7 linked regions of the Rattus norvegicus genome follow. The protein of the gene in region 1 interacts with the protein of each later gene in a biochemical or structural test. Links are inferred from orthologs where the notes say so. Each region holds a gene or a part of one and is shown on either strand. Other genes may lie near its edges.

What was found.
Region 2: of the proteins of Pcna (region 1) and Rnf8, one has a biochemical effect on the other in vitro, tested with the Homo sapiens proteins (2 studies listed by BioGRID). The link is inferred for Rattus norvegicus from reciprocal best matches to the Homo sapiens genes PCNA and RNF8.
Region 3: the proteins of Pcna (region 1) and Poli form a complex in vitro, tested with the Homo sapiens proteins (4 studies listed by BioGRID, with this or other methods). The link is inferred for Rattus norvegicus from reciprocal best matches to the Homo sapiens genes PCNA and POLI.
Region 4: the proteins of Pcna (region 1) and Trim28 form a complex in vitro, tested with the Homo sapiens proteins (2 studies listed by BioGRID, with this or other methods). The link is inferred for Rattus norvegicus from reciprocal best matches to the Homo sapiens genes PCNA and TRIM28.
Region 5: the proteins of Pcna (region 1) and Dnmt1 form a complex in vitro, tested with the Homo sapiens proteins (3 studies listed by BioGRID, with this or other methods). The link is inferred for Rattus norvegicus from reciprocal best matches to the Homo sapiens genes PCNA and DNMT1.
Region 6: the proteins of Pcna (region 1) and Rev1 form a complex in vitro, tested with the Homo sapiens proteins (2 studies listed by BioGRID, with this or other methods). The link is inferred for Rattus norvegicus from reciprocal best matches to the Homo sapiens genes PCNA and REV1.
Region 7: the proteins of Pcna (region 1) and Rfc1 form a complex in vitro, tested with the Homo sapiens proteins (5 studies listed by BioGRID, with this or other methods). The link is inferred for Rattus norvegicus from reciprocal best matches to the Homo sapiens genes PCNA and RFC1.

Annotation. Positions count from the first base shown.
Region 1 is NC_086021.1:139,953,021-139,957,096, forward strand, and holds the start of Pcna (proliferating cell nuclear antigen), read right to left. Parts: upstream 2,801-4,076; 5' UTR 2,739-2,800; coding exon 2,518-2,738; intron 1,712-2,517; coding exon 1,614-1,711; intron 1,469-1,613; coding exon 1,401-1,468; intron 1,168-1,400; coding exon 973-1,167; intron 1-972. UniProt on the Homo sapiens protein: Auxiliary protein of DNA polymerase delta and epsilon, is involved in the control of eukaryotic DNA replication by increasing the polymerase's processibility during elongation of the leading strand.
Region 2 is NC_086038.1:7,686,965-7,690,464, forward strand, and holds part of Rnf8 (E3 ubiquitin-protein ligase RNF8), read left to right. Parts: intron 1-3,064; coding exon 3,065-3,193; intron 3,194-3,500. UniProt on the Homo sapiens protein: E3 ubiquitin-protein ligase that plays a key role in DNA damage signaling via 2 distinct roles: by mediating the 'Lys-63'-linked ubiquitination of histones H2A and H2AX and promoting the recruitment of DNA repair proteins at double-strand breaks (DSBs) sites, and by catalyzing 'Lys-48'-linked ubiquitination to remove target proteins from DNA damage sites.
Region 3 is NC_086036.1:66,399,717-66,403,216, reverse strand, and holds part of Poli (DNA polymerase iota), read left to right. Parts: intron 1-2,014; coding exon 2,015-2,251; intron 2,252-2,526; coding exon 2,527-2,705; intron 2,706-3,500. UniProt on the Homo sapiens protein: Error-prone DNA polymerase specifically involved in DNA repair. Plays an important role in translesion synthesis, where the normal high-fidelity DNA polymerases cannot proceed and DNA synthesis stalls. Favors Hoogsteen base-pairing in the active site.
Region 4 is NC_086019.1:82,723,584-82,727,694, forward strand, and holds the start of Trim28 (transcription intermediary factor 1-beta), read left to right. Parts: upstream 1-1,311; 5' UTR 1,312-1,594; coding exon 1,595-1,940; intron 1,941-2,229; coding exon 2,230-2,342; intron 2,343-2,565; coding exon 2,566-2,698; intron 2,699-4,111. UniProt on the Homo sapiens protein: Nuclear corepressor for KRAB domain-containing zinc finger proteins (KRAB-ZFPs).
Region 5 is NC_086026.1:27,717,842-27,721,341, forward strand, and holds part of Dnmt1 (DNA (cytosine-5)-methyltransferase 1), read right to left. Parts: intron 2,192-3,500; coding exon 2,025-2,191; intron 1,748-2,024; coding exon 1,570-1,747; intron 1,162-1,569; coding exon 685-1,161; intron 339-684; coding exon 248-338; coding exon of another isoform or gene 1-247. UniProt on the Homo sapiens protein: Methylates CpG residues. Preferentially methylates hemimethylated DNA. Associates with DNA replication sites in S phase maintaining the methylation pattern in the newly synthesized strand, that is essential for epigenetic inheritance.
Region 6 is NC_086027.1:47,844,528-47,848,708, reverse strand, and holds the start of Rev1 (DNA repair protein REV1), read left to right. Parts: upstream 1-1,381; 5' UTR 1,382-1,656; intron 1,657-2,778; exon of another isoform or gene 2,779-2,841; intron 2,842-2,881; exon of another isoform or gene 2,882-3,402; intron 3,403-3,494; exon of another isoform or gene 3,495-3,519; intron 3,520-4,181. UniProt on the Homo sapiens protein: Deoxycytidyl transferase involved in DNA repair. Transfers a dCMP residue from dCTP to the 3'-end of a DNA primer in a template-dependent reaction.
Region 7 is NC_086032.1:43,318,370-43,322,567, forward strand, and holds the start of Rfc1 (replication factor C subunit 1), read left to right. Parts: upstream 1-1,398; 5' UTR 1,399-1,711; coding exon 1,712-1,714; intron 1,715-4,198. UniProt on the Homo sapiens protein: Subunit of the replication factor C (RFC) complex which acts during elongation of primed DNA templates by DNA polymerases delta and epsilon, and is necessary for ATP-dependent loading of proliferating cell nuclear antigen (PCNA) onto primed DNA.

The sequences.
Region 1 (4,076 bases):
GACATAATTCAGCAGAGTAAGGTTAAGAACTAGCTCTCTGAGTTGTGTGTATATCTATCTATGCTCTAATTCTTATACTTACATTTACTTTAAGTCTGTGCAGAGGACAAGAAAGTAACACCTTCTATTTACCTTACATACTTTGTGGTAAGCACTCTGAATCTCACCATATTAACCCTGAAATCTCACTTAGTTCAGACTTTGATGCTAAGGCTCGGTAGCAAAACTTAAAAGTGTAACCATGAAATATACATCTGATTCCTGAGAAAGCCTTGAGTCAGGGCTACTTAGGAATTAAGAGAACTAGTGTGTTCTGCTTGAATGAGGGCTTGCCAAGCATCTTCCCCTGCCATCCCAATTTCTTCCCCATTTTTTGAGATCCATTTTCTGCAAGGTAGACTTTAAACTGAGAATCATCCTGTTGTTGCTTTGAGTGTCACAGTTATGGGTTTGAGCCACCATGTCCAGCTTCCTCTAGGCACATAAAATGTCAGAGTATTCAATGCAACTCTTTCCGAGTTGCATGAAGTCTTATTTCCTTTGGTACTGTGGATATTCTTATTATTGTATTGAGTCCTGTTGCCTGTAGCTAGGCCTAAATTACAACCTAACTTTGCTCAGTCTGCTTTTGCACCATTAAATGAACTAGTAACTGAACCTACAACACATAAAAGCTATTAGAGGAGCTACATGATCCCAAGACTTTTACACCCCCAACCATTCCGTTCACTTGCTAATCCTCACTGATTTGTCAAGAGTATTTCCAGGAAGCAAAAGGTTGTACACTTAGCTTTCCAAATCCTGTCTGTAAAAGCTTATGTGGCATCATCTGAGTTCCAAGCCAGCTTGGTCTACTCAGAATGCCATCTCAAAATGAAAGAATGAATAAACAAACAGAAGTCAAGGCTTAATGGCTAAGCCGGCAATCCTGCTTCAGACACAGTTAGCTGGACGACACCTCTTGCTACTTACAGCTTCCTCTTCTTTATCAACATTGCTTGTCTGGGACAACTTAATGTTCCCATTGCCAAGCTCCCCACTCGCAGAAAACTTCACCCCGTCCTTTGCACAGGAGATCACCACAGCATCTCCAATATGGCTAAGGTCCCGGCATATACGTGCAAATTCACCAGATGGCATCTTTACTACGCAGCTGTACTCCTGTTCCTGTAAATGCAAGGTTAAAGGTCAGTCTAGAAAAGAGGAAGACTCAGCTTCATGTTCTCAAGTTTCAGCACCTTAACTAGAACTCAGAACACAAGACTTCTGATGTCTTTACAACTCAATCAAGTTTAGGCTGTTGTGGTCTGGTGAAATGGCAAACACCACAACTCCACTTTAGAACATGCATCAGCTGGTATCACAGCTTGGTAAAACACCATCAGAAACAAGATACTTACTGGGATTCCAAGTTGCTCAACGTCTAAGTCCATTAACTTCATCTCATAGTCTGAAACTTTCTCTTGATCTACCAAAAGAAATCCAAGTGTTACTGAAGCACATGTTCATATCTATGTTGTAAATTTACCACAACCCTGTTGTTTTTAATTGTGAGAAACAGAAACAGCACACTTTAATTTCTGTAGCAACTGAGTTTTAAGGGTGTAACTTACTTGGTGCTTCAAATACTAGTGCTAAGGTATCAGCATTATCTTCAGCCCTTAATGTAATGATGTCTTCATTACCAGCACATTTTAGAATTTTGGACATGCTAGAAAAAAAAAAGGACACAGGGCTTATCAACATCATGTCTCCACATTTACATTTTTAAATTTATATTTCACATTCATGATTGGAGAATTGTTAGGGAGGATAAGGGTACCCCGAACCCTCTCAGAGGTTAAGCAAATTATCGGGTATATGTGATCCTTAAAAATCGATTTAGTAAAATGCACTAAAAGCCAACATTCAAGAACGCATCCTTTTTAGTGGGGTGTCCTCGGTTTTCAGCGTACTGGAGAGTGTGCCCTATCGCGTCTGGCCTTTTCATAAATGTTTCAAAATGTATACAAGTGACACTAATCCATATATCTGTACCAAAATAAGTCACATATTGTCCTTGAAATGTATACAGGAGGCACTAACACAGGTAGTTGTAGCAAAGTTAAAAGCTAAAACTGAGATTTTCCTGCAAATCCATGACGCGCAGTGAGATTCTAGAAGTCAAGAAAAGGCCTATCGTCACTCTAAGACTCTAAGTCGACAGTCCTTTTTCACCAGAACTCGCTTATTAGGCGCTAAAATCGGCCAGAAAAAGCTGCAGGCACTTAATGAGCGCAGCTCGGAAGCACGCATTTTCCCGCTGACTACCGCTTTGTGGCTTTGGCGCGGGAAAAAAGTAGGCGCGACAGCCAGCGCGGGCTTTTCGGAACCGCGCGCTTTGGTGGGTGATGTCCCCGGCACCACAGGCCAATCAGAAAGCGCGGACGGCCATGCCAGCCAATGCGAGTGCAGGAACACAGCCCCGCCAAGAGCCGAAGCGGGAGGGATGGGGCCCAGCTCCCGCCACCCGCTCACCTGGTGAGGTTCACGCCCATGGCCAGGTTGCGATCGCAGCGGTATGTGTCGAAGCCTTCGGAGCGCAGAGTAAGCTGCACTAAGGAGACGTGAGACGAATCCATGCTCTGTAGGTTCACGCCGCCCGAACTGATGTCCCAGCAGGCCTCATTGATGAGGTCTTTGAGGGCCTCCAGCACCTTCTTCAGGATGGAGCCCTGGATCAGGCGTGCCTCAAACATGGTGGCGGAGTTGCGACGTCTAGATGAGAGTTACTGTAAGGGGAGCGAGGTCTTGCTGACAAGGTACCCCGACTCACGATGCAGAAGTAGCGTGAAGACCAGGAGGGACGATAACCAGTCACCTGCGCCCGCAACCGTCTAATGCCGCGGCTTCCTAGGCGCGCGCTCTTTCAGTGCGCGAGGTTGTGGCGTCACAGCGCTGACCCACCCACCTCTCCTCTAGAACCAATCGTATCCGTGGTTTGAGCAAGGCCCGCCCCGCCGCGTATACAGAGGCGGAGCTGTGCGGTAAGAGCGTGGGAGGCGAGGGGCATCACGGGGTTCGCGTAGGCTGTCGTCACCGCCGGTGTTGGAGGGAGCTTAGGCTGTGGTTTCCATGTTCCTTAGGAAGTTTCTGCGCCACGGAAATGAAAGCCACTTGCAGTGCGCGGCGGCCTGCCTTGAAGAGGGAGACTGTAGTTCCTTCAAACACAGTGGAGTGCGTTTCTTTTACTACTGCGTAAAAAATATGCCGCAAAATATTGAGTAATAAAGAGGCCATCTTATCTGAACACTCCCCAATTTCATAACACTTACCTGGGTGCTTCGCTCTGAACTTTCCTCCCTAAAGATTTAAAAAAAAAAATGCCTCTTAACGCGAACGCTTCTGCAAAGATATATAGTTCATGTGTACCACGTAATTAGTTTCCTGTATGGTTGGTTTCTTTTATATTTTTAAAGGTAGATATTAGTATTTTCATCTTAGTTTTAGGCTTAAGATGAACCCAAGCCTGAGCCCCATCTTGAAAATATTAGCTGTTGCAGGTGAAGCGTCTTTCATATGTCCCTGGGCTGCAGCATTTTGTTCTACTAAAACTTCTTTTTCCTATTGATTATGAGGATGGAGAAGAACTGAATGTAGGTAATGGGCATCATTTACAAAAGGATATAAATGATTTCTATTTCTAATGCTTTTTCTCTTGGTTTTGGTGGTAGATAAAATATATTTGATAGTGGAAGTGTAAAACTTCCAGCTTCCATTTGGAATGCCTCTTCTAACTGTAGACACAACTTTTGGTGTGTGATGTTTTATTTATTTGCATTTTTTTTTTTACTAATAAGACATATAAAATTTCAGAAAGTTAAAAGGATTGTTTTAGCTGGTAAGAGTGTTTTACAGCTAATTCCAGCACATGGGAAGGCTGAGGTGGGAGGGCCTAGATTTAAACTCAGCTTGGACTATCTACCAAGACTGACACGAAGGGGGAAAAAGGAATGGTTTACGTATGAAAATATTAACCACATATCATGTGTATTTATTCTTCCCTTATTTACAGCATTTCTCTTTAGCTTGTCTTG
Region 2 (3,500 bases), on another chromosome or scaffold:
GCCAAGATGTTGAACTCAGGCTGTCAGGGTTGGTAGCAAGTGCCTTTACCCACTGAGCTATCTCGGGGTCTGCCCCCCCAGTTTCCAACTTCTGACATAAAACAACACTCAAATATCGCCCGTTTTGGAATCTGGGCCTATCCTATAGGCAGGCGGGCGTCCTCTCCCATCCCCACTTCCTACTGCTAGGGTTCTGGGCACACCTACCACACAGGGTTCAGGCAACACCCCTGTGTTGTCAAGTATCTGCTGTGTAGTGGGTCAGAAAGCAGTGGGGATGAGATGTGCACTCTAGGAAGCAGTGAGGGCAGGATGGACAGGTAGGAGGGACTTTAGGGCTGTGCTAAGTGTATGCTGGTAACGTGAACTTCGTGAACTGTGTCTCACCACTTGTAGGTGAGTGTAATTAGTGTGGGCCCTGAGCGGGTGAGTCTGGGAAGAGGAGTTTACGGTTCTGAGGAAAGCATTTTAAGCAGAGCCCAGTGTATATGAAAAGGCCCTCGGTCGACTGGAGTGTGGATAGCTTTAGGTTAAGTGGGGTTTGAAGACGAGAGGTGATCTGACCTTTTCTCTATCCGCTCTGTAGCTACTGTGGGAAGAGAAAGACTCAGAAAGGAGCTGAAAGCCCAGGACTAGGTGGACTGGAGGTGGCAGTGAAGATTCCCAGGGCAGAAATGACCGCAGGATAGGATTAGGTACAGTTAGGGTGTGGGAATGAAGGACTCACAATCAAAGGTGGCTTCTGTGTTCTCAGCTGAGGTCTAACTTGATGGTCAGGTTAGTTACAAGCAACTAGTAAACTAGGCCCGCGCTGTCACTGGTCTTTAAGGAGCTCGAAGATACGCTTCTGAACGATTTACAAAAGGAGGAATGAATGCATGTTGTAGAAAACCACAGACCGTGCACGCCTTTAATCCCAGCACTCAGGAGGCAGAGGCAGGAGAATCTCTGTGTTCCAGGCCATCATGGTCTACAGAGAGTGTTCGGAAATAGGAGAGGAGAAAACCGTAACCTTGGCTGTTTTCTGCTACAGTCACCGTAGCTCTGTCAAAAGATCACATAAGCACAGAAAACAACTAAGAAACTAAGGCCTGGGTCTCAGAAGAGCCTCATTTCCTTCCCTCACGTAGCTGTGATTGGACAAGTGCACCAGGAAGTTTGATAGGTGGAATCTGAGCTTTGTTTCTGTCTTCTACAGAAACTCCAACTGTTCTCGTGGGTAAGCGCAGGCCCAGGGCTCAAGGGATTTAGTTGTAGACTACAAACTAGACTTTGCAGAGTGCGTACCCCATGTGTGTACAGGTGCCTGCAGGGGCCAGAAGAGGGCATGGAGTTATGAGCTCTTACCCACTGAGCACCGCTCCAATCCACACTGACTTTATGTTTCATATGCCTTGACTGAAGGTACAGCGTCAAGTGCCATGTCCGTTTCACGGGAATCTAAAGCTAGAAGGAGCATTATGTCTGTGACAGGCTGAACTAACAAGATGACAGGGAACGAAGGCAGCTTCAGGTCCTGCATTTGAATGCACATCTGCCAGCTAGTCACGTACGGAAAGAGACACACCATGATAACCTTGGAGAGGAGGATCAAGAACTGTAGTCATGGGGCAGGAGAGATGGATGGCTCAGTGCTTAAGGGCAGTGCTCTTCAGAGACTGGGGTTGGAATTCTAGCACCCACGTGGCAGCTTACAACTGTAACTCCAAGATCTGACACTCTCACATACGCACACATGCAGGCAAAACACCAATGCACATATAATAAGGGCAATAACATTTAAAAATTTTAAAAAAAAATGTTGTTTCTCTGGCCAAGGATAACTTGGCAATGTACTAGAGCGCCGTGACAGCTGGTGCCACACATGTGCAGGTAACCATGCCTAGAACTGGGAAGCTGATCCATGACTTGGCCTCGTAGAAGCAGGAGAGCGAGCAGAACATGGAGAGGGCAGTCTGGAAGGCCATCTCCAGCAGAGCATAAGCCTCCCGCTTGTAACCCACCCTTTGACTTCGAGCTGTGTCGCTGCTTTCCAACACCCCTAAGAACTTACGTTTGTTTCTCTAAGCACAACAGCTATACAGTAAACCAGGAGTCCTCTTGAGAAGATACACTCGAACTCAGACCCTGGGAGTACAGGGGGAGAACGGTGACCCGGGAGACGCTTCACAGCTGTAGAAGGGGATTGGAGAGTTCCTGGTGAACCTAGGGCAGAACCAGGGTCAACTGAAAACAGTTTACTGAGAAAACCCCAAGGCCTGGCATATGCATAAAGGCAGTGCTCAAGATGAGTCGATGGCAGTGTGTCTCCCTTGTCATTGATGGTAGAAATAAATGACCTGTCAGGGTTGTACGAGCCTGAGTGTTTATATTGGCTCTTTTTTGTTTTTATTTTTTAATTATTTTATGGCTGTGATTGTTTTGACTGCATGTGTGTTATACACACACGTACCTGGGGTGGGGGTATGGGCAGAGGAGGGCGTCAGATCTGCTGTAGCTAGAATTACGGATGGTTCCAAGCCACCTTGTGGCTGTTGGGAAAATAAACCTGGTCTTGGGGAAGAGCAGCCAATGCGCTTAACTACTGAGCTGTGTCACAGCCCTCCATGGTTAACTCTTCTTGTTGTTTATGTTTGGTATTTGAGACAGGGTTTCTCTGTGTAGCCCTGACTGTCCTGGAACTCACTCTGTAGATCAGGCTGGCCTTGAACTCACAGAGATCGCCTGCCTCTGCCTGCCTCTGCTGCCTCTGCCTCCCCAGTGCTGGGACTAAAGATGTGCTGGCTGGCTTTTTTTCCTCCCCTTTTGGTTACTGTTAACTCTTAAGTGTTCTCTTATCACAACGTCTTGCTTTGGTCTTTGTGGTGGCTCCCTGTGGCAGGGAGGTGGAGGAGGAGGAGAGGGAGGAGGAAGAGGGGGAGAGGACAGCAGATGAACAGTTTAGGGTCCACAGGTGTCTGGTTTCGTAAGTCAGGACTCGTGTTTGCCGCTGGTTGGTAAGACTGTAAGGAACCTCCCCTGTTAGCAGAGTGACTGAATGTCCTAAGTTGCCCTTGTCTTCCAGGTGACCATAGGACGGGGATTCAGTGTCACGTACCAGCTGATCTCAAAGGTGTGCCCTCTGATGATTTCTCGAAACCACTGCGTTCTGAAGCAGAATCCTGAGGGACAATGGACGATTATGGACAATAAGGTACAAGAGCTCACTCGAGCCTAATGGCTTCTGTTGAGTTGTGTTTATTTCTAAAAATTGTATATTATTTTACTGTATGTGTGCTTTGGGGGGAGGGGCGGTGTGTGAATGTGAGTGCATGTGCCAGCCCAGGATACTGTTGCCGGATCCCTCTGAGGTGGAGTTGAAGTCGTGGGCCACTCTGGGTTCTGGGAACTGACAGGATGCATGTGATGCTCTTAACCACTGAGCCATCTCCAGACCTATTATAGATTTAAAAGTTTCCAAGACAGGGTTTCTCCGTGTAGCCCTGGCTGTCCTGGAACTA
Region 3 (3,500 bases), on another chromosome or scaffold:
TTTTCTTATTATTCTTCCTGCTCCTTGTTTTTAAGAGCTCTGTCTCTGTAGGCTGTTCTTAATTTACAGACATTGACTTCCTACTTTTTTCTTTGTCATTTTTAATTCTGAATTTTGAGGTAGGCTAAGTGTGTTGTTGATCCCTTCTGTTCCTCTGAGGACAGAGATTCCCTTGTTGGATCCTGGCTACATCCTGTCCAGGCCTTTAGTCACAGGCCAATCTGCTCTTTGCTGGTGACTTCCCCAGGCTTCAGGTTAATCAGTTCAAATGACCATTAGCAACAATTAGCAAAAGCGACATGGTTTATCTCCCCATATGAAGAAAGTGCGGAAGACAGATGTTTTTGCTGGAATATTCACATGTGTAAATAAATTGTAATTAGTGCCCAGGAGTATGTAATTAGGCGTCTAGACTCCCAGGGCTGCTAGAGAATGCAGCCATGTAGAGGTCTAGCTTCTTCTGTAAGAGAGGCCTGGCGTAGTCGGGCCTGCATCTCAGCATGCCCCTCCTCTTATGCCCGTTTAGAGTCTCCTATATCGTCGACACAGACGATGGGCCCGAACCTCCACGTCTAGAGACATGAAGCCTCTCCTGTGTGGTTTGTTCTTGTGCCCTTTTGTCAGCCCCGAGGGTGAAAGCCAGAAAGATTACAGATCCATCTTTGTTCAGCTTTTAAAGCAGATGCAGACTTACTGTTTAGAAAACATCAGTGGACAGAGAGCTCGGTTTCATATTTCAAATGAAGACTGCCTAGTTTCTTATTACTTATTCTTCTTTTATGTAAGTTATTAATTGAAACCAGTCTTACTATGTGGCCTGGCTGGCCCGGAACTTCGCTGTTGGCCAGGATAGCTTTAAACTCTGCGATCAGCTTGCCTCTGCCTTCCAAGTGCCTGCTCCACATAGGTTTAAGCACAATTTCTTTGAATAAGTACGTAAACAGGCAGAATCCTGTGTGTGGACGCTCTTGTCTGTTATAGACAAGCCAGTTGCCATTCGGGCACAGGTATTTTATCTTGCCTCTGTGGACTGTGCATGTGCTGTCAGCTAGGCCGATTGATGAGCTACTGGGGAGTAAGTCCTGTGACAGACACTTCATCTCCACGTCCTTCCAGCATGAATCCTAGGATGGATCATACAACTCTGTTACCCACACCAAAGAAAACGTGTTTCTTTCTCCCCTCCCTGTAGTATCGTGAGCAGATTTCATAACCTGGGGCCCAGTCATTATTTGCAGCAGGGCGTTCATGGGGTGCACAACATCCAGACTTCATTCTAAAGCTATGTTTTCCTAGTATATAGGCTTCCTTCTGTTTCTTTATTAGTAAAGGTGAATGAAGGTCTTATGCATGTCAGCTAGAACTGCCAGGAACTGCATTTTCACAGTCTGCTAGTGAGTAAGCACTCTCAGCATGCATTTCTCGTCACGGACCCTCAGCATCTGGTTAGTTTGTAATGACTCAGGACAAACTAAGGAAGCAGTTAGAAGAGTAGTGGGGAGTGTCAGGGAGGAGTGTGGGGGAGGAGTGTGGGGGAGGAGTGTGGGGGAGGAGTGTGGGGGAGAAGTGTCGGGGAGGAGTGTGGGGGAGGAGTGTGGGGGAGGAGTGTGGGGAGGAGTGTGGGGGAGGAGTGTGGGGGAGGAGTGTGGGAGAGGAGTGTGGGAGAGGAGTGTGGGGAGGAGTGTGGGGGAGGAGTGTGGGGGAGGAGTGTGGGGGAGGAGTGTCGGGGAGGAGTGGTGGGGAGGAGTGTCGGGGAGGAGTGTGGGGGAGGAGTGTCGGGGAGGAGTGTGGGGGAGGAGTGTGGGGGAGGAGTGTCGGGAGGAGTGTCGGGAGGAGTGTGGGGGAGGAGTGTGGGGGAGGAGTGTTGGGGAGGAGTGCCAGGGAGGAGTGTCAGGGAGGAGTGTGGGGGAGGAGTGTCGGGGAGGAGTGAGCATGGACAGATCCCTGGGCTCTTTGAACCCTTTTGGTGAGAGAGAAAGTGCATGTTTGTGAGGTGATACCTTTGTCGTTACAGCTGTAAACCTGCACAGCAGCACGCATGTGAGACTTGCGGTTGGATCGCAGATTGCAGCAGAGATGCGGGAAGCCATGCATAACCAGCTGGGGCTCACAGGCTGCGCTGGCGTAGCGCCTAATAAACTATTGGCAAAGTTAGTGTCTGGTGTTTTTAAACCAAATCAACAGACAGTCTTATTACCTGAGAGTTGTCAGCATCTCATTCACAGTTTGAACCACATAAAGGAAATGCCTGGTAAGACAAATGCATTTGCAGACAAATACTGGCCTTGTTGTAGTTTCTTTAAACTATGCAGTTAATTCCTAGAAGCGCACACTTGGGTTTGGAGAAAGCCAAAAACCTGAAATGTTTTGTGTACGAATCTGTGTGCAGATAGACGTGCAAGTGCTTTTCCACACAAGGCTTTGAGTGGTGCCCTGGAGCCGTATGGTGGAGACATCTTTGATGTTGAGAGTAGCTTGGCTTTGAGACGCAAAGCCTTCGCAACACTGTGCATTTCTGTTGTTTAGGTATCGGCTATAAAACCGCCAAGCGTCTTGAAGTCCTGGGAATCAATAGTGTGCATGATCTCCAGACCTTTCCAATCAAAACCTTAGAAAAGGAATTGGGAATTTCTGTTGCTCAGCGCATCCGGAAGCTCAGCTTTGGAGAGGACAAGTCGCCTGTAACACCCTCAGGGCCACCACAGGTATGTGGGCTTGGCGTTAACCTTACCAGGTGGTGGTTATGCTACCTCAGCTAAAGGTGTCTGGCTCTCGGATCCACTACTCTGCTGTGCTTTGCGGCTGTGTGTGACCCTTTCCCGGGAGAAGCTGACTGCTGTGAGAGGAGCCAGTACTCTGAAATTGAAACTTGCCTGCTGGTAGTTTTAAATCTAATTACCTACTTTTTGTTACTACTGCCTTAACACACAAACATATGAAGAACACTTTTTAACCTTTTAAAACATCCTCACCTTTAGACTAATCCAGAGATTTGGACAGTGGGGAGGGAATAACTACCCAGTTGTTTGGCACGTGCTAGGCCTCAGAAATTGCTCCACAGACCCACTGCAGTGAATTTCACCATAACCTCTTAGATAGGCAGTGCTGTTTGTTCAGACCTCCCTTCCTGCTCCTGTCCTTCCTCTTTCCCTCTTTAAAGCTGCACTATAAAAAGGTTAAATAACTTGTCCAAGCGTAAACTCAGATTAAGGCTCTAGGGCCATGGAAACCTTGCTGTAGTCCCATAGAGTAATTAGAGGTGGTCCCTGTGCTTCAAAATTGTATGACTCTTGGTGCACAATAACAGGACACACAGTAATGGCACACACAATTGCACACACAATAACCTCACACAGTACTGCACACACAAGATAACTGCACACACAGTACTGTGCACACAATAGTCTCACACAGTACTGCACACAAGATAATTGCACACACCAGGAATTAGTGCAAAAGTGAACCTGGTGTTACCAACGCATAAAGATAGGTAGTGAAGA
Region 4 (4,111 bases), on another chromosome or scaffold:
CCCTACCCTGGTGAGTCTGGCCCCAGCAGTCCGTGGGGCCGTGAAAATATTCGCAAATATTTCTACGGGAAGCCCGCACTCAGCTTCCAGATTATACTATCCTTTTCAGAGGTAGAAGTGAGAGTCCAGAGGCTGGGTCTGGTGGGGGCGTGGCCCGCCGAATGGTGAACGCAGAACTGCCGAGATAGGAACAAAGGCTGGGGCGGGGCAAAACCTTGGGCCCCCAGCTTGATTGGGAACAAAGGCCACACCCGGGACAGTGGCGGGACACTCCTCGCCTCTCCGCTGCCACGTGGGTGAACACCTGGTTCTGCACGGAGGAGGTAGACTCTTGTTGAGAACCCTAGAGTTGCTTGTGGGCAACTCACTCTAGCCCAGACCCAGACCGTACCCAGTACACTGCAAGGCTGCAGAGGCATCCACTCAGCACGGCAGTAGAATGGCAAGGGGTACAGGTTGCCTTTTTAACACTGATCCTGCATCTGAGATGAACCGCTTCACCGCTCTTGATCCTGCTATTCTTTTCCTTAAATCAAATTCTTCAGCCAAGGTCCTGCTCCTCATGCAAGATTATTCCCCAGGTCTTATTTCTCCCTCAGATGAGATTCATCACTCAGATCCAACTTTTATTCCTTCGCGTTAGATGTTCAGTTCTTCCACCTCCAAAAAACCCACTAAAACCAGAATAGCAGAGGACTAAAACAGAAGAGGCTTTCGAAAGACTGGGCAGAATTTTACAGAATGGTTTCTCAGTACCTCTCTGTGATCTGCGGTTTGACTTGGACAACTTTTCGCTTCCCGAGTTTAACAATAAAAAAAGTTTGGGTTAAGACCGCCTCCACGCTCGGCGGGAACTTCCTGCCAAAGACCCCCTCACCCCCTCCACCTGGGCTCGGTCTCTGTGCTCAGCCGTGGCTCCGCCCTCTTCGGATTGTCCCGCCCCTCTTCGCGGACTATAGGCCAAGCTGCGGCTGCGGACGTCGCCACGCCTGCTAAGGAGGCGGGGCCTAAGGTACGGTTCTGCACGACTCGCGCTTTCCAGCACGCGAGGAATAAGCCTCGGTGCACTGTACGGTGGGCATGGGAGACATCACGCACGTACTCCGCGGGTGAATTTCCTACCGGTAGTCTTGCTATCCTGGACCTAGAGGGGCGGCTGCGAGTAGAAGGGAGGGCCCTGGCGCGTGCGTAATCTGCCTGCGCCCCGCCCCCAGGCTGCGGTGCCCAACGCGCGTGCGCGACGTCGTCGGCGCCAGATATTTCTGTCCCGCCTCCAGGCCGCGGCTCTTTCTGCGAGCGGCGCGCGGTCGGGCGGTTGTTCGCAATTCTTGCGGCGCGAGTCTCAGCAGCAAGGGAGGAGGCGGCGCGGGTGGCGGCGCCGTCGTCTGTAGAGAGGCCGGCAGCCAGCGGCTTGGCCGCATCTCGGCAGCGCCTGGGGCGCGGCGGGCGTCGGCCCAGGAGACGCGTGGCGGCGCTCGGCCTCGCGGCATCGGCGGCTGCCTGGCCGTTGGCGGCGAGCGCACTTGCGCCTGCGCAGCGGGCTCGGTGCCCCTCCTCCCCTGGGCGGCCCCCCCAACCCCCCGGCGGCGTGTGAATGGCGGCCTCGGCGGCGGCGGCGACTGCGGCGGCCTCGGCCGCGACGGCCGCGTCAGCGGCCTCTGGTAGCCCAGGGTCGGGCGAAGGCTCGGCGGGCGGTGAGAAGCGCCCCGCTGCCTCTTCAGCCGCGGCGGCCTCGGCCTCCGCGTCGTCCCCTGCGGGGGGCGGTGGCGAGGCGCAGGAGCTTTTGGAGCACTGCGGCGTGTGTCGCGAGCGCTTGCGGCCTGAGCGGGATCCTCGGCTGCTGCCCTGTCTGCATTCGGCCTGTAGTGCCTGCCTTGGCCCCGCTACACCCGCCGCAGCTAATAATTCGGGGGATGGCGGCTCGGCGGGCGACGGCGCTAGTGAGTACTGGGTGGCCAGGTGCCCCTCCCCCCTCCTTGAAGCCCGTGCTCGGGACTGCGCCTGTGCGAGAGTATGGGGGCCCGGGTAGGGTTAAGTAGGCCTGCTGGTTTAAGAGGGGGCGGGGAACGGGTGCTGGCGGCTTGCAATGCCGGTTACCAGGTCTGGACACCGAGATGCAGACTGTGGGGTAGGAGTCAAGAAAGCCGAGTGTCTGGCTCGACTTTTGAGTTGGGGGCATAGCTTAGGTGAGCATGCAGTTAGTTTTTTCACACATTCTTGTCTTGGCAGTGGTGGATTGTCCAGTGTGCAAACAACAGTGCTACTCCAAAGACATCGTGGAGAATTACTTTATGCGTGATAGTGGCAGTAAGGCCTCTTCTGATTCCCAGGATGCTAACCAGGTATGTCCTTTGGGATATCTTGTAAGAGAGGGAGGCATCTTTTCTGAAGCATCTCACCAGCTTAACTAGTTTGGATAGTATGTTCATAACAGTCTGAGTCTCTGGAAGGGTAGTACAGATTTGAATGCATTATGTAAAATTTAGTTTGTGTTTTCTGGGAAGTAAATAGAGGTCCGTTGGATAGTTCTGCCTGTTCTAACCCCCGCCTTTACTTCACTCACAGTGCTGCACTAGCTGTGAAGATAACGCCCCAGCCACTAGCTATTGTGTGGAGTGCTCTGAACCACTGTGTGAGACCTGTGTGGAGGCTCACCAGCGGGTGAAATACACCAAGGATCACACTGTGCGCTCCACGGGTATGTTGAAGATTTGAAGGCTGTTGGAACTGCCCTTTCTTGGTTGACTCAAGTGCATACTTGCAGGATGGGACAAGGTGTTTTTTTTAGGAACCTGACACAACTCAAAAATGCTTTGGTTCTGGAGCAGACTTTGGAGGTCTAGGTGGAAAGGGAAAGGCCACAGGTAGAGGATGTGTAGGGTTATTTAACACCTGCTACAAGTCAATACTAGGGATTCAACTAAGGTCATCTTGGAAGTCTCCAGGGGAAGGTTGTAGGTCCTGGTGGTGGGTCGATTAGCATAAGCAGCTAATGAAGGCAAGATGAAGTGACTTGGATTTGGATGTTCTCTGGCACCTGGCTTTAGCTGCTGAAAAAGGGCTTTTGAACAGGGAGAATTTCTTGACAAGTTAAGACTCTTAGGCCATTGTTTAGGGTGAGTCCTGGAGTAATTCAGCAGCAAGCCTTCAGCATCTTCCTAACTAAAGCTTATGGTCAGATTGATACCTTGTTTTCTGGGTTTGGTCCTGACTCTGATGTGATGGTGAGTTTCTTCCTACTTGGAAGGACATTGTTAAGGTAGTAGTAGAAGGCAGTTGTAAGGCCGGTGTGAGAAGTCAGGAGTGATAGGAAGAGGACTGCTCTTACTAGTGGTATGTAGTTTGGGCTTGGTTAATACAGCCTGAATTGGAATAGCATCGGGGAGAAAAGGGACTGATAGGTCAGTCCATACTTTTCTATTTTGGTGAGACACTGCTCAGGCTAGCCTTGGACCCCTCCCCAGACAGTTTCTGTGTATAGCCCTGGCTGTCCTGGAACTCTGTATAGGAGGCTAGCCTCTCAGATTTGCCTGCCTCTCCCCTGGGATTAAAGGTGTGTACCACCTGGTTTTCCCTTGAACATTTTATGCCCCTCCCACAGCTCCAAAGTGCTGGGATTAAAATAGGCATTTGGAATGTGCATGTTCCCCGCCCTTTTTGTTCATTTGTTTTCAAGACTGGGTTTCTCTGTTACGCCCTGGCTATCTTAGAACTTTTTTTTATTTTTGAGGCAAGGTCTGTATATAATCCTGTTCTTTAACTCACTAAGCCAGGAATCAGGGTGGCCTTCATGCAGAGATTCTACCTACCTCTGCCTCCCCAAGCGCTAGGTTTAAAGTTGTGACCCACAAGGCCTTTTTTGTATAGGTAGATGATAGCTCAGCATATAGTTCCTACTAGCCCATCTGGCCTGTAACTCACTCACTGCAAATCAGATTGGTCTCAAAGTCAGATCTTTGTTTTTTTTCTTTTTTGCCTCCTGAGTCCTGGGACTCAGGACTTTTGAGCATTTCACTGTAGAATCAAGTTAAGATTTTAGGAATGTGAGTACACTGTAGCTGTCTTCAGACACACTAGAAGAGGGCATCGGATCTCCATTACTGGTGGTTGT
Region 5 (3,500 bases), on another chromosome or scaffold:
ACACAGATGCTCAAGCTGCCTTGAGAACCCGTATGCGACTGGAAACATTCAGGGCTGAGACAGCTCCTCATTGTCCCTGCACCCAAGTGCTTGGGGCGGTCCTTGAGGCCAGTGCCTGCTGGCTTTGTCAGAATGCTCACACTGCCTTCAAAGGCCACTGTGCCATCTGCCCCGGCTCTACCACTCTCACCTTGTGTGTACACAGGCCCCAGTGACTGGAGTGGCCTTCCAGGAAGGTGGCACATACCTGAGGCACTCTCCTGAGCGCTGGCCAGCAGACAGAGCTTAATCTCCAGGCCGATGGCTTTGGCCAGTGGTGGTGGCACAGCGTTCCCCACCTGCAGGAAGGAAGGAGGTAACGTCAGCTTGACACCAGGCTCAGGGGCCTGACCATGACCTGAGTTTTGTGGACTTGGTCTACACTGAGATGTCCACACACCACAGGCACTGACAGTTTTTGCTTGCTCAGTCCGAGACAGGGTCTATGTAGTTCTTTAGACTGGGGTCAGAGATCCACGTACTTGCCTCCCCAGTGCTAGCATTAAAGCCTGGGAAGGGCATCTGTGCCATTGCATTGCTGCTGCTGACCCACAGTTACACACACAACCTGACTCACAAGCTGTGGCCCCCTACTCCCAATTCGAGGCTGAGGCTACTTGGTGACAAGCTCTGGGATGGACTGACCTGCCGGTGTCTGTCCAGGATGTTGCCGAATAACCGGTAGGTATCTGGAAAGCCTTGGGAGCGAGCACATTCCCGCACACTCACGACCCGGTGCTGCTCGGGATGGAGCACCCGGCCTTGCTTGCCCATGGGCTCAGGGTTGGTGACGGTGGTACTGAAGAAGCCATCCCACTCCAGACGCCCGTAGAGGCCAGCCCAGTGGTTGTGCCGGTTCCCAGTGTGCGGCAGGCACCAGGGGATGAGCGTGTTGAATTGTCTGGAAGCAGGGTCGCAGGTCTTGCCTTCCGCACAGGAGCAGACCCCACGCAGGGCCCCGGTGCTGCTGCAGCCGTTCTTCGTGTCGTGGAAAGTGTAGCGAAGTTTATTGGTTATGACGCCATCTCTCAGCCGCACTTGTATGTTGGGCAGGTCACGCCAATCCGATCCTGGGGACAGCGGGATGTGCCGCATACGGGCAGCCACCAGCGCGCTCATGTCCTAGAACACAGGGAATCCCAGCTGAAACCCAGTTCAGGGAGCACAAAAGGGGAGCCAGAGGCTCGGATTCCATCAGGATGAGACAACCACCCAACCCCAGCTGAGAGATGGCCGAGGACGCCTGGTGCATGTCCGGAGGGACATGTGAGGTGAGCGCATTGGACAAAGAGGTTCCGTGTGAAGTCAGCCGGGGAAGCACAAACACGAGGACTGATGTAGGAAAAGCCCATACAGAAACGCTGTTAAGAGGGCGCTGTGGGGACATTTGGATGTCAACCTGGACCATCTGAAAATGACACTGTGCGGGTAGGAGATCAGAGATGTTGAGCCTTGAGGCTACGGAGATGTAAGCGAGCCCAGGAGAGAAGCTGGGCCAGGCTCTCGCAAGACCGAAGGGAAGCTAGCTACCTTGCAGATATGGTCCCTGAGGATGGGCTGGTAGTGCGACCCTCGCAGCTGCCTCTGGAACCAGGACTGTGGCTCTCCATTGTAGGAGATCTCGGGGGCTGAGGCTCCATTCTGGATCTCAGGGAGGTCAGACATGGTATCTCGCACCGTGATGGTTCGGAAGGGACCCGAGCTTAGCCTGCAGCAGAAGGTGCTCTATTAGAGGTCAAGCGGGTGGTGGCCTCTGCTGGAACTCAGGATGTGAGGGGCAGCTGAGGTATGGGCCCCTCTCAAGTCTGCTGCCTGCACGTGAGGCAGGACCTAAGGTGGAGTGAGGCAAACCCAACCGGGCTTGAGATTCCAGCCAGAGTCCAACACAGATCTCCTCAGTAAGCCAGGGAACACGAGCAAAACATGGAGGGCTCGGCACTGTCACAGCCACTCTCCCACACGTGGGGGCCGAGCACAGCTCCTACCTTGTAATGTTGCTAACGAACTTCTTGTCGTCCACCACAACACTCAGCTGGCAGGCACGGGGGGCAAACACGTGTAGAGGTTCTGGGAACAGAGGCAGCTTCTCTCCAGGGGCTGCAGCCAAGATGATGGCCCTCCTTCGTGTCTGGGCCACACCATACTGTCCAGCCTGCAACAGGGGAAGAGAGATGGCATTAGGCAGTGTTTGCCCAGCTGGCTCTTCTCAGAGAGCCAGACTGGAAAGCAGCAACGCATATGCATACCTGCAACTCACCAAGTGGCATGGCGGCCACTGGCCAGCAGTAACAGTTTGCCCCAGTCAGCCAGGGCCATGCCATTTGCAAAACTCTCATTTTGGTTAAATGGGGACAACCCCCAAGATTACAGTAAGTTGAATTTATAGAAGCAAAGTCACTCGTCTGCATAGGCCCCTGCCATCCCGATTCTGTCAAGCTCAGTTAAGGCTGACCCCGGGGAATGCTAACCCATCACTATGTCTTCCGACTCTTCCCTGTCTCCTCACGGTAACTCCTGCATCTGTAAGTGGATGACAAGACCTCTGTGTGACCAGAAGGAAAGCTCCCATCCCGTGTTTGCTCTGGATAAATCCTATTCTGCTGGGCCGCTTCTCTTGTATTTTACTGACCTTACACCGGTCAATCCCAGCCCTCCCAGGGAACACTGCAAAGACGATTAAAAAGCACTGGGGAGGCCAAGAGCCCTCCCTCCACCCCTGACAGTCATGAAGATGATGAGCACAAGGCGGAGGCGAGGGTTGGGAACACCAAGCTCATCCCAGGTGGCCTCCCATGACTTGTTAGTTCAGCACCCACTGAACAGCTAATTTTGTTGTCCGATTGTGGAATCAAGGTCTCATTGTAGCCCAGGCTAGCCACAAACTTGCTATGTAGACAAAGAAGAAACCAAGTCCTGATCCTACCTACAATCCCCTCTTACTTGTGGGATGGTTAGTGTGCGTAACCACGTCTGTGTGGTGGCCAGAATGGAACCCAGGCTTCCTGATGGTGAAACGAGCTCTCTACCAACTGGGTCCCAGCTAACCACGATCACTCTGGGTGCTGGGGACAGGACCAAGGCAATGTACCACACTGAGCTGCGGCCTAGCTCTAAATCCTGAGATGCCGGCCTTCAATGCATGGAATCCCTCTTCTCCAGCCTCCCAGGACTAGAGAAGACTGGCTTTCTCTGTGTAGCTCTGGCCATCCTAGAGCTCTGTAGACCAGATGGCCTCAAACTCAGATGTGCCTACCTGTGCCCCTAGAGTTGGCATTAGAGGTGTGGGCCTCCATACCTGGCTAACCTATGCTTTTCCACCTGAGCTGAGCCACTATCTTCACAACCATACTGCTGGGCATGCAGACCTCCGCTACTCACAGCCCAACCGTCTCCTGGTTAGCGACGGGGAGCAGCAGCCCAGGGACTGAACTAGGGGAGGCCACTTCCGCCCCTCTGCCTGC
Region 6 (4,181 bases), on another chromosome or scaffold:
TACGAAAGAATAGGGAAAAAATCAGAAATTGAAATATAATTGCTTATTCCTTGTAGAGCTCAGTTATTTTTCAGTCTCAAAATTAAAATTTTGCTCTTTTCCTTAACTGGAAATAACTGCTGTGTAGAGACAATTTTTACAAAGTCCCCACAAGCCTAATTGCCCCTTCCTTACCCCCAGTGGCATTTCATTACACAACCTGCTGGTGTTGCAGCTTAGAGCTCATTCTGAAACTCCTGAAATTACACTGTATCTATCTTTTCTATTGTGGGTCCGGAGAAACAGGCAACTCTCTGGGGGTATGGAGGGAATACTGAAGTTGAATTCATCAAGGAGAGCAAGCAAACGAAACAAGAGAGGGAGAGGTTAAAATTGAGACAGACATATATGTTTCAATGTATATATACATACAAATGTATATGTGTATATACAGAGAGAGAGAGATTTTATCCGAGTATCTCCTGTCTTTCTGGGAAAGGAGCCTCAGGTTTGCAAAGTCAGTTTTAAAAAGAGAACTGATTGTTTTCTAAGTGCCTGCAAACTCCTTTCAAATGTCTAAGCCGGAGAAGGACCCAAAGTGTTGAGCCTAGGGCGAGGAGTTGGTTGGCTCAATGTCTGAGCATTCCAACAATAAAGATTGTCACAATAACCACACAGTCTTCCATTGAACAGACACAACAGAGGCTGGGAAAATGAGCCTTATAAGACCACTGGTTTTTTTTTTTTTTTTTGCTAGAAGGTGTAATTGTATCTAAACATCCGTGAATAAATAAATGTGTGTAGCGGTTGTTTTTAAACCATCACAAGGGAAAGCAATTTTCATCAGGTCTGTGTGTTGCACGCGGGAAAGGCAGCAGCCGCAGGTGGAATGCGGGGTCGGCAGTGATAAGACTGTGCGGTGTCGTGTCTGGGCTCTGCCCAGCTGGCTGCCGGCAAGCGACCCTGCGTTCCGCAGAACGTTGTGGGCCGCGCGGTTCTCCGCTCGCCCAACGAGCATATGCCAGCCTGTGTGCGTCCTGGCCGCCGCTAGGTGGCGCCGCACATCAGTCGGAGCGCGCAGCAGCGCTCGGAGGACCCTGCGCGGTCGTCCACGGGGTTAGTCCGGGCACCCGCGCCCTCCGCGGCGGCTGGGGAGTCCGTGCGGGGTGGGGCGGGGCGCGGCTGCGCGTCGCTGCAGCACGATTAGCCAGCCAGCCCGGGCAGGAGGCAGCGTGGTGATGCGGCGGGCCCCGCGCCACCCCCGCCCAGCCAGCCGCACGGTCACGTGCCGCCGAGGCGCTGCTCGCCCCCCCTCTCCCGCGGGCGCCGGCGCGAGAGGAGGGCGGGGCCGGGGTCGCCTCGGGCCGGGCGCGAGCAGCGCGCGTGCGCCGCGCCCGGTGAGTGCGAGCGGGGCCGGGCCAGCCGGCCGCGGCAGGGACGGGAGGGGGAGCCGGGGCGCGCGCCGGAGCGGCGGCGGGGGAGGGGCGGAGGCGCGAGGCGGGCGCCGCGACTGAGGGAGCGTGGGCCGAGGCGCGGTGCGGCTCGGCAGCCGCCTGACCGGTTGCCTTCCCCGGCGTTCTCCTCTGCCGCTGCGAGGGCATTGAGCGGCGGCGGCGGCGCCCGCGGGCCTGAGGAAGCGGTCGGGCCCGGGCATGGTGGCCTGGGGCGGCGCGGAAGGTGAGCGACCCCCGGGCCGGCGGGTGGGGGAGGGGAGCCGAGCCGCCAGGGTCCGGGCCGCCGCCGCCCGCGCGGCCCGAGGCGCCGGGGCCTCGGCCGGGAGTCCGCGGTGCTGCCGCGAGGCCTCCTGTCCGCCGCACCGCGCCGCCCCTGCGCCTCGGGCCGCCGGGTTATGTAACGCGTGACCTCCCGTTCCCCCTCCACCCAGGCGCTGCCTCCCGCGCTCCGTCGCGCGCCCGCGGCCCTGCCTCCGCGAGTCCCGCCGCCGGCGTCGCAAGTCCCCCTTTCCTCTTGCGCCGGCGCCTGGCTGGCCATTCATTTCCTTGCGCGTTCGAGCGTCCGCTCCACCAGCGTTTGCAGAATGTGGCCGGGGCGCCCGGGGCCCGTGCCGCGTGCCGCGGTTCTCCGCTCGCCCCTCCGGTGCACCGGCTTCCTCCCTCCTGCCTTGCTCTCAGGGACCCCGGAAGCAGTGTGTTCCTCGCTCCTTTTCCCTTGTTACTTATCTGTCCCTTCCGTGTGCAGGACACCTGTCCCCAAGTGTCCGTACAGGTGCTCAGTTCATTGACACTTGGGTGTGCTGTTAAAACAACAGTCGGGGTAGACAGGCACTTGTCTGTTTGGAGGCTCTTCCTGTCCCCGGTTTGCAAAGCCCGTACCTTCCTGCAGTATCGTTCCGTAATTGTTTTAAAAAAACACTACAGGTGGTACATGCCTAGGATTTTACTGTGTTTTTCTTGGACCTGGCGGGTATAAAGTAGAAACGGTGTGTAGATTAAAAATAGAGACCTGGTAGAAAGGATTTAACTATTAGGGACTATGTGACAACTCTTAAATGATCTGCTTGGTCTCTGGCTCCTCTAGTCCTTTAGGTAGAATTATAATGTCATAATAGGAGTGCACATTAGTTCAGTTTAACGCTATCTCCATGAGTCAGTTTTCCCACAGAGGCAGTGCTTTGCCCAGACAAATGTCGCAAGAACACGCTTCCCGCCCTTCCAGTGCTGGACACTTGGAAGCTTACCATCCAGGAATTCAGTCTGGGAGAGTGCTTTCGCTCACTGCTTAGCCTAGTTATTTGCCATCTTTCTTGAATTTCTCTGTTTTCTTGTTTGTGTCTTGTAGGTCCTTTGAGGTCAGTATGTACCAAATCGTGTATCTTGTCATGAAACTTTACTCCTTTTTATGGTAAATAATGCGTATTTGTTTGTTTGTTTTTTTTAAGGGTGGGAATCGCTTTTAACATTAATCTTATCTCTATGTCGTCTCATGTAGAAAAATACACGTTTTCAAAATGAATGTGCTTAAATATGTAACTACACTTCTTTACCACTGAAAAACTAAGATTCAAAATAGGAAGAAAAAAAAAAAAACCTGTTCTCAACAACCGGTCACTGTAAATAAATTCCAGTGACTACATATACCTATGTTTAACAGTCAAACACACAGTATTTAATGGCTTTTGAAGTGGAAAGATCAAAGCATTTAGATATGGGCTTGAATTTTGTCTCTGCTGGTATATGAATTTGGACAAGCTTTTCTTTTTTCTTTTTTCTTTTTTTTTCGGAGCTGGGGACCGAACCCAGGGCTTTGCGTTGGCTAGGCAATCGCTCTACCACTGAGCTAAATCCCCAACCCCTGGACAAGCTTTTCATTCTTAGTTTGAAGACATCATTTTCCAGTTTGGGTAGCTGACTAATTACTTCTTAAATAAAAGGCATTTAATGAGACTGAATCCACAGGTACCCAGTAAGTGTCTTCTGTGGCGTACTCTTGTAGCTGTGCACTGAATAGGATTGGTATGCTAGAGAGAGTACCATGAGAAGAAAACTAATCACAGGAGGCCTTAGGCACCTGCTTCTACAAGTGAGTACATACTGAAGGCTGGTGTGATTCTTTGTGCTTAATTAGAGTATTGGGGATTGCAAATCAGGGTATAAACTGGGTTTGGCTCATCTCAGCAGTAGGTAGGCAGAGGCAGGGGGATCTCTGGTAGCTTGAGGCCAACCTGATCTACATAGTGAGGTACAGATCAGTTAGGGCCCGAAAAGTTAGACTCCATCAGAAATAAAAACCGAAATAAATCAGGGTAAGTTAAACAGAATATCAGTAAAAACTTCATTTCTAGTAGCAACAATGCCAACATTAATGTGGATATTAATAGATATTTTAAATTTTAATTTTCTTTGAACACAACTTGAGAGCATGAGGAGAGTGATAATTCAGAGACAAGTTTCAGGCACTTTAGTGTCTCCTTGTAAACCATGCACAGATACAAGTCTTAAGTTCTAGTGTTACCTTCCTTAAATTGTTGGATTAGTGCCCTTACTGGTGTCCTTATTTTCCTTGCTGTCACTCACATAACAATCAGAGTGACCTTTTGAAAAAGAACTTCGGTTGAACTTTTCATAGTTAAAATCTTCCAAAAACTCTAGATATTAGAATTGAATCTAAGCTCCTCCTCCCTGCCATCAGGGCAGCTGCCAACTTAGCCTTAGCCTTACCCCATGACTCTCTCTCATATTGGT
Region 7 (4,198 bases), on another chromosome or scaffold:
AGCAAGTGCAAGGCCCTGGGTTCAGTCCCCACCTCCGAAAAAAGAGGAAAAATAAATAAATAAATAAAATCCAAAATCAGGCTGGAGAGATGGCTCAGCAGTAAGAGCACTGACTGCTCTTCCAGAGGTCCTGAGTTCAAATCCCAGCAACCACATGGTGGCTCACAACCATCTGTAATGCGATCTGATGCCTTCTTCTGGTGTCTGAAGACAGCTACAGTGTACTTACATATAATAAATAAATAAATTTTAAAAAAAACCAAACCAAAATCATGTTGCGATAGACACCTAGTAAATAAAAACTCTTGGGGTTGGGGATTTAGCTCAGTGGTAGAGCGCTTGCCTAGCAAGCGCAAGGCCCTGGGTTCGGTCCCCAGCTCCGAAAAAAAAGAAAAGAAAAAAAAAACCAAAAAACTCTTGTATTCCTGAAGGCTTTATTGCCTTTCCCTGTAGATATGTGTCACAAAATGACAAGACCCAACAAGAAGTGGTTAGAAAAAGATTTCAAAGCCAAGGCCAAAGTTGGATACTGTCCTCGTCACTAAATTCTTTGATAATCTCATGTTTTCTCTTGAAGTTGTATGTGAATGTTACTTTCTATTCCACAACCAAGTTGCTTATTTACTCACAGGAAGCTTACTGGCCCATGTGAGTCCCCACCCCTGTAATCCCAGCAGCCGGGTGGTGGAGGCAGGCCTACTTCCTCCCTCCCTGCTGAGACTTGCTTATCCTAAATCTTTCCTGATTCTAGTTTTCCTGTGGGGGTGTATCTTGGTATGTAGTGGCTTCAAAGATTTCACTATTCTTTAAGTGACTGAATGAAGCTTTAGGAAGGAATTAAGGGGCTAGTTTTCTTAGCTTGGTAGTTTTAGAACAAAGCCATTGAGGCTGGGGTTTGCCCAGTCGGTTGCATGCATTCACAGTAGCTCTGAGTTTGATCCCTTGCATTGCGTAAACCAGGAATGTTGGCATATATCTGAAATTTCAGCACTTGGGAGGCAGTTAAAAAAATCAGTTTAAGGTCATCCTCAGCTACATAGTTTACCAGGATGGAATACATGATCTTCTGTCTCAGAAAACAGCTCCTCCCCAATAAACAAAAATATTCCTTTAATGTAAACAGTCCCTTAAATGCAAACATATAACCACGCGATGGAAGACAAGGGCTCCCCGAAAGCTCTTCTTTGACTACTACTCGTGGACTCCATCTCCAATAAATAAATATATAAAAAGTAAAAAAGAGGGGTTGGGGATTTAGCTCAGTGGTAGAACGCTTGCCTAGCAAGTGCAAGGCCCTGGGTTCGGTTCTCCGCTCTGGGGGAAAAGACAGTAAAAAAGACTCGTCCACTTCTGGCAGCCGCTACAGAGGACTGCCTTTGCAGCACGTGTACGGGGAGGGGAAGGAAGCCACCTGGGAACCCGCCTTAGAGGAAGTCAGTCTCAGATCCCAAACTGGGCGTCTCTGTTAGGATCGCTCACGTATTCAGTGTCTTACAGACTTAGCAACCCTCTTGTTGCCAAGGCTGTGCGCAACTCCCGCCTCGGGGCGGGGCCGCGGGGAGCGCGCCTCCGACGTCATCACCGCGCGCCGCCTGAGCGTCTGCTACTTCGCGGGAGAAGTTGTTGGCGCCAATGTATTCCGAGCGGCGATAACGGATACCCCTCCAGTCACGGGCCTGCCCACCTGCTCCTGTTCGGTCGTGGGGCTGCGATGGTGAGCCACCCGGGAGGCGGTGCAACTACAGAGACTTTGCAGGCGGGGTGTGAACGGGACGCCGCCGCGGTGCTGGGTGGGGAGGACCATGCAGAGTGCTCCGAGGGGCCCCGTTTAGGGTTCGGGGCGCACCAGGGACGCAGCGTGCAGGGATGTGGCTGCTACGCGGCACTTTCACACCCCACCTCCCGACTCTTCGGGGAAGGGAGGAAGAAGAATTTGGACGGGGCGTTAAAAGTTACTTTCGTGTCCAGCATTGTACCAAATCTCTGTTGGAATGCTTCCTTAAGTCGTGACTTCAAGCTTTGCGAGGAAGAATGTGACGCTTGCCTTTCTCAGGGAGAAGTTGCTCGGGCCTTCAGGTTTAATCAGCTTCCTGAAGTACGTCTCAGCCGTTTAGAGAGCTGATGACACAAGGAAGTTGTTTTACTTTGTTTAGAATAATTTATAGGACTTGAACGGATAACCTGGTTTACCAGGAATAAAAAACACGGACGTTATGTATTTGACAGTTGTCATCTCTTATCACCTGTTACAAAAAGTAGTTTTTTAAAAAAACCCTCTGTTCCAACTTCAATACATAATTCTGTGTAGTGAACATTAAATAGATCGAAAGTGAAATAGTCCTTGGCATAGGAGATAGTTACAAGTTTGAAATCATCTTTAACATACAGAACAACTGAAGATGTTGAGCTAATCCACAAGATATTTAACAATCACATATATAACACACACACACATAAGTATACATGTATATATACTTTTATTATTAAGCTTGTCAGAACACCAGCATTCAAGGGAGAAAAGTGTTATACCAAATTGGAAAAAATTTCAGCTCTGTTTTTAATTCTTGGGGAGAGAAGATAGTGATGGTAGCCACCGGGAGTCAGCCTTTTTATTTTCTGGATTATGTGTGAGTTGTTTGCTTTAAATACCTTCTAGAAATTCATCTGAAGTGTTGTTCTAACAAAGATTTATTCCTATTTTAGTCATGTGTGTCTCTGTGTTTGTGTATGCATACATGTGTTTGAGGGCCCATGTTGGCCAGAGGAGGGTGTCAGACCCTCTGGAGCTGGAGTTACAGGTGGTTTTGCATGGCTTGCTGTGGGTGTTATTTATGGAAGTCAGGACCTCTGCAATGAACGGTATGCACTGCTAACCACTGAACCATCTCTTCAGCCCCCAAGTTCATTAAATTTTTATTTAACTTGTAGTGTGTATATTTTGCCTGAATATATTTCTGTGAGTATACATGCCCGGTGCCATCAGAGGCCAGAAGAGGGTGTCGAACCCTTTGGAATTAGAGTTGAACTCATGTCCTCTGAAAGGCAGCAAGTACTCTAACCACTGAGACATCTCTCCAGTCATTCCTTTGCAGTTTATAGGTGGCGCATGCCTTTAATCACAGCAGTTGGGACACAGAGGCAGGCAGATCTCTATAGGTTCGAGGCCAGCCTGCTCTATTGAGTGAGTTCCGGTATAGTCAAGGCTACACAGAGAAATCCTGTTTGGAAAAACTTAAAAAAAAATTATGAGTGTTTTGTCTGCATGCATGTATGTGCTGCATATGCAGTCCTGGTCCCAAGAAGGTCAGAAGAGTACAGAACTGGAGTCATAGATGGGTGTGAACCATCATGTGAGTGATGGAAACTGAAGTCAGGTTCTTTGCAAGAGAACCAAGTGTTCCCACTCACTGAACCATATCTCAAACCTCCCAAGTTCATTTTGTTTTGTTTTTGTTTGTTTTATTTTTTGAGACAGGGTCTCTACGTAGTCCAGGCTGTTCTAGAGCTTACTATGTAGAGCAGGCTGGACTTGAACTCACAGCGATGTTTCTGCCTCTGCCTCCTGAGTACTGAGATTAAAGTCCCTTGCTTTCATGCTCAGCTCCAAGTTCATTTTGAAGGAGAATTTTGGGTAATAGTACCATGTATCAGGTCTTGAAATTAAAATGTTTATAGATTAGGCACATCTGAACTCATGATCCTCTTGCCTCAACTTGTAGGCCCTCCACAGTCAAGTTTTATAACAGTAAAGATACTTTTTAAACAGTTTGCCATACAACTAGTAGGTGGTTAAACTAGAGAACCTAGGCATTTTTGACCACTACATTATTCTGCCCCCCTAAAACGATCAGCGTTACATTTTGGAATTTAGGTATTTTGGTATTGTGGAAAGTTAATGAGATTTTGATGATGGAGTATGAGGTAAAGACTGTTTAATAGTTAATATTAGTATCTAGACCTGTACAAGTAAATTAACTTCTGTGACTCTCACACTTCCAAGTGCTAGATTACTGGTGTGAACTGGACCCCAGGAAGTAGCTTAATTTCTTGGTTTCTACTTGCAAAAAGGATGCAGTGAATGATAACTACCTCGAATAACTTAACGTTAAAAATATTTATTTACGGGCTGGGGATTTAGCTCAGTGGTAGAGCGCTTACCTAGGAAGCGCAAGGCCCTGGGTTCGGTCCCCAGCTCCGA